Drosophila melanogaster: one gene and its partner. Changing the gene in region 1 together with any one later gene gives a genetic interaction. Each region holds a gene or a part of one and is shown in the gene's direction. Other genes may lie near its edges. The genes, in order: Zwilch and nudE.

The links.
Region 2: of Zwilch (region 1) and nudE, changing one suppresses a phenotype caused by changing the other (phenotypic suppression), as found in Drosophila melanogaster (one study listed by BioGRID).

The regions. Positions count from the first base shown.
Region 1 is NT_033777.3:31,210,278-31,215,127, reverse strand, and holds Zwilch (zwilch), read left to right. Parts: upstream 1-1,751; 5' UTR 1,752-1,838; coding exon 1,839-2,945; intron 2,946-3,002; coding exon 3,003-3,498; intron 3,499-3,559; coding exon 3,560-3,814; intron 3,815-3,875; coding exon 3,876-3,943; 3' UTR 3,944-4,162; downstream 4,163-4,850. Other genes in the region: CG15561 (uncharacterized protein), read left to right, coding at 1-320; CG1542 (uncharacterized protein), read right to left, coding at 541-1,314, 1,373-1,456, 1,519-1,584. UniProt on the Drosophila melanogaster protein: Essential component of the mitotic checkpoint, which prevents cells from prematurely exiting mitosis. Required for the assembly of the dynein-dynactin, Mad2 complexes and spindly/CG15415 onto kinetochores.
Region 2 is NT_037436.4:9,897,202-9,902,553, forward strand, and holds nudE (nudE), read left to right. Parts: upstream 1-2,039; 5' UTR 2,040-2,154; exon of another isoform or gene 2,155-2,186; intron 2,187-2,524; 5' UTR 2,525-2,803; coding exon 2,804-2,883; intron 2,884-2,951; coding exon 2,952-3,105; intron 3,106-3,221; coding exon 3,222-3,495; intron 3,496-3,559; coding exon 3,560-3,817; coding exon of another isoform or gene 3,818-3,903; exon of another isoform or gene 3,904-3,996; intron 3,997-4,141; coding exon 4,142-4,233; intron 4,234-4,359; coding exon 4,360-4,635; 3' UTR 4,636-4,711; downstream 4,712-5,352. Other genes in the region: CG6707 (uncharacterized protein), read right to left, coding at 728-854; CG46387 (uncharacterized protein), read left to right, coding at 1,530-1,967. UniProt on the Drosophila melanogaster protein: Chaperone protein with functions in nuclear localization. Required for centrosome duplication and formation and function of the mitotic spindle.

The DNA.
Region 1 (4,850 bases):
AGGCTGAGAAGGCAGGAAAGGAATCCCCAGCACATCAAACTCCAGAAGATCCCGTCAAGATCAAGAGGAAAAAAAATAAGACACGGGAGCCGGGAGAGGAAGACGGTGTGGAAGTCGAAGAGCCAGTGAAGATAAAAAAGAAGAAGGACAAGAGAGCGGATAGGCAAGCAGGGCTTGGAGCAACTGAAGGACTGCCCCAGGATGTTGAAACTGATGAACAAGTAAAGTCAAAAAAGAAGCGAAAAACGGCGGACTCTTCGGAGGAATCGGAAACTAGCACAAAACTAAAAAAGAAACGAAAGAACAAGGAGAACGTGTAATAGTTATAGTCCACTTTAGAATAAACGATGTTAGAAAAATGTAATTTATGAAAATTGCTCATGGAATTCTAAAATTCTATACGGAGTATTCCACATTTCGAAAGTAAGGCTGTGTGCACACAAAATGTTATGTATTTATGGGTCTAAAAAATCTATACAGGATTGGGGGCTTTATAAAACTAGAGTTTGGTCACCTAAATATAGTCGGCAGTCCCGGGGATTACTTTCTGCCCTTGGCCTTAATGCGTCGCGATTTGCCAAGCCGCTTGTTGACCGAAGCACCTGCCTTTACGCCCCGCTGGCGCCTGGAGGACTTGTCGCCATCCAATCCCGCGGAGGAGGACTTTGTGTTCCTCTTGAGGCCCTTCTTCTTGCCGCCGAAGCCGAACTTCTTGTTGCGCTTCTTGCGATTCTCGGCTGACTGCTTCTGCTTGGACTCAAGCGCCTTGGCGTCCTCCAGGAAGTCCAGGTTTTTCAGCTTGCCCTTGCGGAACTTCTTCAGTTTGTCCAGCATGTCCTTCTTCTCGGCTTCGCGTTGGACCTTGGTCTGTTTGGCCAGCATCTTGCCCATCTTGCGCTGCTCGCGGATCTGCTTGATGCGCTCGGATTTCGCCTGTCCTTGCTGTTTGGCCATCAGGTTGGCGCGCACCTTCTGCATGTGCTCGTCGGACTTGGCCATTTCAGCGAAGTAGTCATCGGGTCGACGAGTCTTTATGCCCAGCTCGTGAAGGCGGGGAATGGCCTCCAGAACAGCACTTTGCGCCTGTCGGTGGAAGAGCATCTCCCTCTTGAAGTCATTCAGGACGGGATCCTCCTCGGGCCGAATGTAGGGCAGCTTGGCGTTGCCCTTGAAGAGATTGGCCCGCTTCTGCTCGTGCTTCTCCAGCTGTACAGCGAGTTCCGGCGCCAGTGGAGCTAGTGTGTTGATCATGTCCAGGCGTTCCAGCCAAGGCAGTTGCATCTTGATAGCCTCTGTCTTGGCCAGCAGTTTGGTCTATGTGGGCAGGATTGGATTAGTCGATTCAAAAGCGGGCATCCAGCTAGCTACTTACCACATCGTTCACTTTGTCTCTCTGGCCATTGAATTCCACATTTAGGCCTGGTTTCAAGTCGCCTCGCTCAAATGCCGCTTGCAGCTGCAGGAAAAGAGTGGAGATTTTGGTATACGGGGTGTTCATTTCTTCGGTTCCTCACTTACCTCGGCATCTGAGTTATCCCCTGAGTCGTAGCCCGAGGCACTGTCCTCCATTTCAAAGTCCGACATGTCTGAATTAACTAAATTAAATCTGATCCAAATAAAAGAAAACAATTTCAACACGTGCGGGGATAAGAATTATCGATTGTTGCTGGCCTAAGTCTATCGGCTATCGATGTTGCAGTGTGACCTTCACGCGGCTTACTGCTAAAATTATTGAGGTGCACTAAAAAGCGAAGTGCTGTGTGACCGTTTAACCAATTCTCGCTTCGCTTTTCAAATACTGCCGCTTTTTGTTTCTGTTTTGCGAATTTGCTCCAAAAATGTCGGCTTCTGCGAACTTGGCAAACGTTTACGCGGAGCTAATGCGGCGGTGTGGCGAGTCATACACGATCACCTATGGAGCGCCACCCACCTACTTGGTGAGCATGGTGGGGGCTGCGGAAGCTGGCAAGAAGATTGTGCTGGTCTTTAAGGAGGATCGCAATGGAGCAGTGGCGAGACTCCGGACCACGCCCACCAGGGCAGCCCCAAAAAAAGAGGGCTCTGCGGACTTGGATCTGACGGGAAGTCCTTTGAAGGACGACTGCCTGGTGGACGCCATAGCCGACTTGTCCATCGACCTGCAGCTGGATCACTCGAATCCCTGGAAGCTGGAGGAGGAATATCAACGCGGAATACCCGTGGACAAGGCTAGGTCCATCGTGTGCTCCGAGTTCCTGCAGCTGGCCGAGGGACTCGGATCCGTGTGGTTTTTGTGCGACGGCAGTGATCTCGGGCAGACTCAGTTGCTCCAGTACGAGTTCAACCCTACGCACTTCTCCAGGGGAATACTTAGCTACCAGGGTGTGCGCCCTGCTTACTTAGTAACCTCGCAAGCCCTGGTGCGCCATCATGGCAAGACACCGGATGAAACTCTCATTGAAAATAGCTACCAGGTCAATCCCCACATGAGACTACGCTGCTCCTGGACCTCTAGTGCTGCACTTCCGCTCCTGGTGAACCTGAACGACTGCGATGTGGCTTTGAATCACACTTTTCGCGTGGGCGACTGCGGTCCTTTGACGCAGGACTTTATGAATCAGCTGCGCATTCTGGTCTACATACGCGAGGACATCGTCTCCTACCACACGGATGTCAAGCAGGGCGTCTCTCGGGATCCCACCTATCGTTGTGGCAGTGGCATTGACATGGACGAGCTGCGCGAGTCCATTAATCAGACAATGACAGATGTCTCTGGCCTTATAGGTCGGTATAGCATCAGCAATGCGGAGTTTGACATCGAAGATGTGGTGCAGAGGGCCAAGGTTCGCCAGCTCACGGATCTAACCGATAAGCTTTGGGAGCTGCTCAAGTGCTGCCACTCCTACAAGGATCTCAAAATTGCCTTTAGTATGCTCTTCCAATGTGCTGCACGGTGTAACATAGTAGTAAGTATGCTAATGCATGCAAACCACCACATATTATTCATGTTCCTCACCCCATAGAACACGCCTACTAACAAAAATCGACTTGCCAAGATTATCACCGAGTTGGCCAACCGTCGTCTGGCCATGCCTTGTTTAAGTGGGGCCGAGCCTCTGGAACTGCTTTTGGAAATTGGCCTGGAGAAGTTGTACAAGGACTACGAGTTTATCTACACCGAGAGCAAGATGTGCAGCACCAATCTGTTGAAGGATGACTCCAGCGGAGCGTCGATGGACGATGGTTCTCCCCAGAATCTGCCCCAGCTTCGAAAATCCCTGCACAATGCGGTCAGGGGTGATCCGACCCCTGGAGCTGGAATGCGAAAGACGCTGCTGCATCATCACGGCGCTGTCAATTCGCGGAGTACAAAATATGCCGGTAGCGACGATGATGCTGGGTTCAAAAACAGCCATTTCGACGAGCACGAGAGTACGGAGAGAATCTCAAAGTTGTTTCAGATTCACTGCACCTTAGAGCATCTCCTGATGATGCACATCCACTTAAATCTGGCAAATGGTAAGAAGGACAAAAAGCAGATCCTGGGATTTTTAGCTATAACTCCGTTTTTGACCTACAGTTTACAACGATGTCTGTTCTGAATTGCTGAAGAAACCGCCTAAATTAGTAGAATCCATCGATGATCAGCTAAGTGATGTTATGGACATTCGCCTGTCTGCCCACTATGTGAGGGATCACTTGGATGGCAAGGATCCCTACTCCCGGCACATTACCATGCGTTCGCACAACAAGTTCCGCGAACTAAAGACCACCTTCTATTTCAATTCGGAAAACATTTGTCCGCCGAACTTGGCTCAGTGTTTCCAGTGTGATGGTAAGTTTGCTTTTTGACTTGTTTATTTTCTATAGCTATGGTAATATATTTGACTTCGCAGACAAGGAGATGGTCAAGGAGCGCACATATCATTCCTGGATATATCACAAGATTCGCTCACTTAAGTAAGGCTTGCTTAGTAATACAAAATTGTACATTCTTTAAATTTAAGCATGGCTAAGAATGGTTTAAAATGGCCTTTTTCACATTGTAATAATTTATTTAATGGATATCTAGCAAGAATGTCCCTTAGCTGCATAATGTTTTGAGACACATTTAAAATGTTGAATTTTTTCAAACACTGCTTGTTGTATTATTAAATTAAATGCCTTTTGGTTATAACTTTTCAAACTTTTTTTCTATCGAACCTTTTTGTTCGGAATTTTAATTGTTTGAGCTTGTTGAACACGCTCTTCGACGCGTTTTCGCAAACCTCCAAAAAAGTCAGCAGTGCACACCGAAATCATGTTAAACGAACTCGTACAAGTTTTAAGCCGACCCAGAGGCTATTGCAGCTGCATTGGGAATCTTGAAAACCTGGCCGAAATCCGCTTCCGCCCTGCTCGCACTTTTATCACAGTGTTTTTGCCGGCCATATTCTATACAAAGGTCAGCATGACCAGCATTTGGCCATTCCTCCAGTGAAGTAATGCTGCAAATGAGGCGAAAAGAGTGTGTGCCCAATGGTGACGGCGCCATCGAGCATTCCCGATATGTTACAATCCAATTAGCCGGATGCGCCAGTTGGCCAACTAGAGTACTTGGCCCGTCGCTGATTGATTTGCAGTTTGTCAGACGTGCGTGGAACGCGCAGCGGTTCGGTCGTGTTTTTTCCAGCCCTGTTTTTCCCCTGAAAAGCGAACGGAATTTCAAGCAAGGATTTCCACGCGAGTGTCCTGGCCAGGGAATATAGCCACTGGGAGCTGGAAATCAAATCAAATTTTTTGGACAGTTGACTAAAGAGTGAAGAGTGAACAGTGCCCGTGAAATCTTAATTAAGTTTGTTTAAATCGCCAAGTGTCGCGAGTGTCTAATT
Region 2 (5,352 bases), on another chromosome or scaffold:
TTTCCGAGCTGAAGATCAGGTTCCTTGGTAAACAATGGAACCACTGCTCATCGCAGACCCTCATTTTCGCCCTGTATTGCGATAAGGCAGCGAATGACATGATGACTCATGGACTCATTGACTGCCCCCGCTTAACCACCACTATAGCAACACCTCCGAATCGATGCTGATTAAACAGCTGTGGGGAACGCTTTTTGCGCTGATTACGAGCGTCCTAGCATAAACAATAACAAAGGCGGTGCAAAAATTTTGCCGATACCGGCGTCGAGTAACTAACTACAATCGATCTTTACATTTTTGGCAGCTCTTCACAATTTCGTGATAAAATTACATTTTTTTTATGGTGTACGTGGCCCATTTGATATTTAGGCCAATAAGAAAATTTTATATTAGGTTGTAAATTTTTGGTAATACCAATAATACTGGGCCCTATTAAAAAATAAAAAAATGGCAGATAATTTAAAATGGCATTTGGGCACCACATATCCTATCAGTTTTTCTTTCTGTGCAGTCCCATTGCTCTCCCCCCGCACCAAACCACACGCATTTATGACTCAGTTGGGTGAAGTGTGAAAATGCCAAATGAGACGGCGAGCAGACAACTCGGAATCACGGCGTTGGATCCGGATAAGTGGAGCGCCCGCACACTTGTTGGGCTTCCAATGGGTTGCCCGCCCGGCTGATTGGATGCGGGTTGAATGCCCGGCTTTACAGTAACGATACGCACCGTCCTCGTTTGTGGCCACCGATGAGTTGCTGCCGGGATTATCGGCACCCTCGTCCACGGCGTCCACGGAATTGTAGCCATTGCCGTCGTCCTTGTTGATCAGGCTTTGTCGCTCTGGATCCGCCATTGTGGACTATCTTCCGATAAATGGATATTTATATGTGTGGACTATAATCTCTATATGCTGGAGCAATTCCCGTTAGGCTGCACTTCCAGTTGCCTTTGTTTTGTTGTTGCTGTTGCTGCGGGGGCTGCTGCAACGCGTTGATTTCAACTGGAAAATGAGTGGGAAATCCAATAGTTTAGTTGCTGTGCCACATAATTTCGGACGCAACGAGCTCTTTGTTCACGATTGCCGCAGTAGTTTGGTTTTTTTTTTCTTCGTTCGTCGCGGTTTTCACTCGCGTTGATTGAAACACATCCTCCCTTTTTTCACTTTTCGGCATGCGCCGCAATTAATCAATTCGATGATGCTGCATGTGCAACGCCCACGCGAGCTCGATTGTCGCACTCACACAGTTGACATTTGGTTATAATACTGGCAATTGCGTTAATTGTTTAACAATTGCTGGCCATAATTGTGCTATATTTTACCTTATTTTTGTTGAAAATGCACTGCAGTCGCTGCGATCTGGCCACACTCTGGCTAGCTATCTGGCAACGATGTCCCGTTTGAGATTTTTCAGTTGCGGCCCTGCCAGGGAGTTGCCACATCGTTGTACTTGGTAAAGAACCAGAAACAGATCAGCGAAAAATTGTTCATTTTTGGAACCAAAACAATCCAGCGCGGCTTAAAACAAATATGTCTAAAATCACGAAAAACTCCAATAAAATTGACAATAAGGATTCTGTAAGCGGGGAAGGCTCAAATAGTGGGGACGATAACACGTCCACAAGTTCAAGTGACTTTGAAACAAGCAGAAAACACAAACTACGCCGCAAATCCTGTCGAAATGTATCATATCATTATCATGCGCTGCCCATGCGCGTAGTTGGCGAAAATGTTGCAGCACTGCCACAAACTCCCAGCTCCACTCGTGATTTAACACTAAGCTCAGCTCAAATAATTGAAGATAGTTCCGACTCTGAGTTTCATATTTCGGACGATACCAGCAACGATGCGCCGGCCAACAAATCGATAACGTTCACAGCACGTCCATTAGAGAAATATGATTTGGAATATATAAGAAAACTACGTAAACGCAAAAAAAAGCCGAGTAAAACTTTATATGTTGATTAAATTTCAAATAACAACTGTTGACCAGGGCTGGAAACGGCAAATGCCCATCTATTGGCCAACACTGGCAACCCAAGCCAGGGTTGGCTTGTGCGTTTTTGGAGTAGTGGTAAATTTTTACGAGCATAACTATTTACACTGATTTTATGTAAATAAAACAAACAAAACGTAGCAAAATTAAGTGCAAAGTGTAAGTAGTAAATGTGGACAGTCGTGCTGTATAAAATTCTAGGTATAAACACTGGAATTCTACGAAAAAATCACCGATGATTTCATTTCCATGCAGTGCGTTGTTGTATGGGAAACTTCGTCGTAGCTATTTGTTGTTGTTGTTGTTGCTGCTGCTCATCACCATCATCCTCGTTGTTTTCGTTGTTGTTGCCGCAGCAGCTGCGTCACAAAAATGAGTTTTGTTTAATTTGATTTTATTTACATTTGATATGGACAAAACCGACTGCCCTTTTAGGGCATCGAACAAGAACAACAGCAACAGTAACTACAAAATTCAGGGCAAACACCTGTTCCTAATTGATTTTTCACTTTTCTTCGCCGACTTCTAGTCTATTCACCACCCCCAACACACAAAACAAAAAAAAAGTAAAACTACGACTTGAACAACAACTGTGTTTTGGCATTTTAATCACAGCAATTAAAAACAAAGCAGCCAAAAAACACGAATAAATAACCCAAACAGTAATAGACCAACCGTAGTACATAGCATTGTTCAGAAATTAAAAGTTAAATCAATTCGAACGAACGAAATTACAAACCCATTTTGACCGCCGATTAGTACACAAAAACCAGAAAAAGGAGTTAGCAGCTAAGGAAAATTTGCAGAAATGGAGTCGCCCCCGATGTTCAATAGTGTGGAAGATGAGTGCAGATATTGGAAGGAACGATCTAAGCAGTACCACAAAGAGTAAGTGCCCATCCCTATTACAGTCTCCGAAATCAGCCATATAGCCTAGTTTTACTTTTAATTTTCAGGTGGACAGACGTGAAACAGGAGTACGACGAGTTTGTGGAGCAGTCCCGCGAAATGGAAATAGAAATGGACGCCACTCTGGACCAGAAGCAGAGTATAATCAAAGATCTCACAGCCAAACTCACAATGTTTGAGCGGGAAAACGAGTCTCTCAAGGTAGCTATAAGCTAAGCCCGATTTACACAAACTGAGCTTAATTCTTAGACTCAGTTTGCGTATATGTGGCTTTGAGCTCCCGACAAGATTAGTCTTTACAACTATTTCATTCTCAGCTCAAGTTGGAATCGCATGGCATCGATATGTCAAACATGGAGAAACAGCTGGAAACGGTGAAGAAGGATCGCGACACCATGAAGGTGTACCTGCGGCAGCTGGAGCAGAAAAACGACGATTTGGAACGTGCCCATCGCATACTTAACGAAAGCATAGAGAATTTCGAGAAGATGCTGGATCAGGCCTACGAGAAGAACGCCCTTCTGGAGCTGGAAGTGGATGAAAAGGGATTGCTGCAGGAAAAACTACAGCGATTAATGGATGAGACGAGAGGTGGATGCATCTATACCAGATGTCCAGCACAGACTTTAAAACTAATTCATCAAATCTATTGCAGATCTCAAACAAGAGCTGAACGTCAAGTCACGCTTTACCCCAGTGGTCAATGGAACGAGCGTTCCCACGGCAAACGACACAAATACGGTCAACAGCTCGATGAACTCGTCCGCCTCGCTGCCAAATGGTATTGTTGCCAATGGCGAATTGGTAAAACACGACAATGCTGTCGCCACAAGAGCCACCAGCGTCAGCGTCAACGCCCTCAATGGCAGTTTAGTTAATAGAAACGAATATAACCAGCAGCATTCGCTTAAGAGTAAGATACTAAGTTCCCTAAAGAAAACCAGACGCGCGCTAAAACTGTCCAAGACGAATCGCCAAACGTTCAAGCCATGCATTTAGTATTGTTTTTCCATTTGTTTCTTTTTTACTTGTTAACCAAAAAATGTAGCCCGCTTAAGTTCCTCATAATTTGTAATTGTATTGTAAATTATTAAAATTAAGAGCCCAAATGTGACGAAAGAGTTTGCAACATTTCTTGTAGGCGATTTTTGTACGATTTGTGTTTGCGTCTGTAGCTAGTAGTTGACCTAACTAACCTCTCGACTAACATGCTGTGTACGTGTGCTTCCTCTTGCAGATCCCGAGAATCAAATCAATGGCAATTCCATGAACCCCAGCTCCCGCACAACGGCGCTCAACATTGTGGCCGACATGTTAAGAAAACTAAACGTAAGTCCCTCCGCAAACTATAAGTCCAGCATGCCATCCTACCTCATCCATTGTTTCGTATGTACATATGATCCTTGAACCCTTCACTCCCACCATCGGCTTATGTGTTTTTCCCTATGTTTTTAGTGGGACAAGGCACTGCTATGTCCCGAGTGCGAAAAGTTTCGCTGCATGTGTGAGCGCCCGGCAAGTGTGCAGCCGCCGCCGCCGCCATCGGCCAGCGAGGCAAGTCTTTTTCGCCGCGCCTTTGGCGGCAGCAGCAGCTCAGTGGCCACCAGTAGCGCCCAGTCCACGCCCACCAGCGATTGCAGCTCCGCCGGAAGCCTCAGTGCGGGCTCAAACATTTTTAGGCGCTTCGCCGAGCGCATGCGAAACTCGCCGGACGCCAGCCTGCCGCTCTGACAATGCGCTCGGAACTTTAAGGCTAATTTTAGTTGCCCTCCGCTTGCATTTATTAATTGCATTGGTTAATAAATACAAAATTTATTTGTACCTTATTTTATGTTCTTTGTTTTTGTTCGTTATGATTTATTCAGTTTCGAAAGCGCATAATAACTTGGCTTGCTGACTAAACTCTGCACTGGGCAAACCGTTGCGAAATGAAATTTTCATTAATTTATTTATTATATGATGTGCCCAAATCCTTCTATAGTTAATTTTTCATATAGTTCACTGACTGTTGCTTAATCCGCTCTCGTTTTGTGTTTTTTTTTTAGGCGATGGAGACGAAACTGAAGACGTACCGCGAGAATGGTCAGCCAATGCCGCAGCGACACCGCTCCTCCCAGCAATCCACACATCCGGCGCTGGCCGGACTGCCTTGCTTCTCGCTGGATGCCGAGTAGTGTGGATTCTGCAGTTCAGCGTGATCCACAAACCCCAAATCCGAAACCCAATCACCTAGGGCGGGATACTGTTCAGTTGGCTTTACGTTTACGTTACGTTACTTTAATGTTACTGTTCGCATTAATTAAGTTTCTGCTGCCTCTTTATTTATTTGAACTAAAATGACTTTGTATAAACCACTTGCGATATTATGAATTACACAACAGTTGATGTTGTTGTTTCGAGCCCAACATATATAACATGCCTTAGTACGAATTAAGTGTATACCTAAGC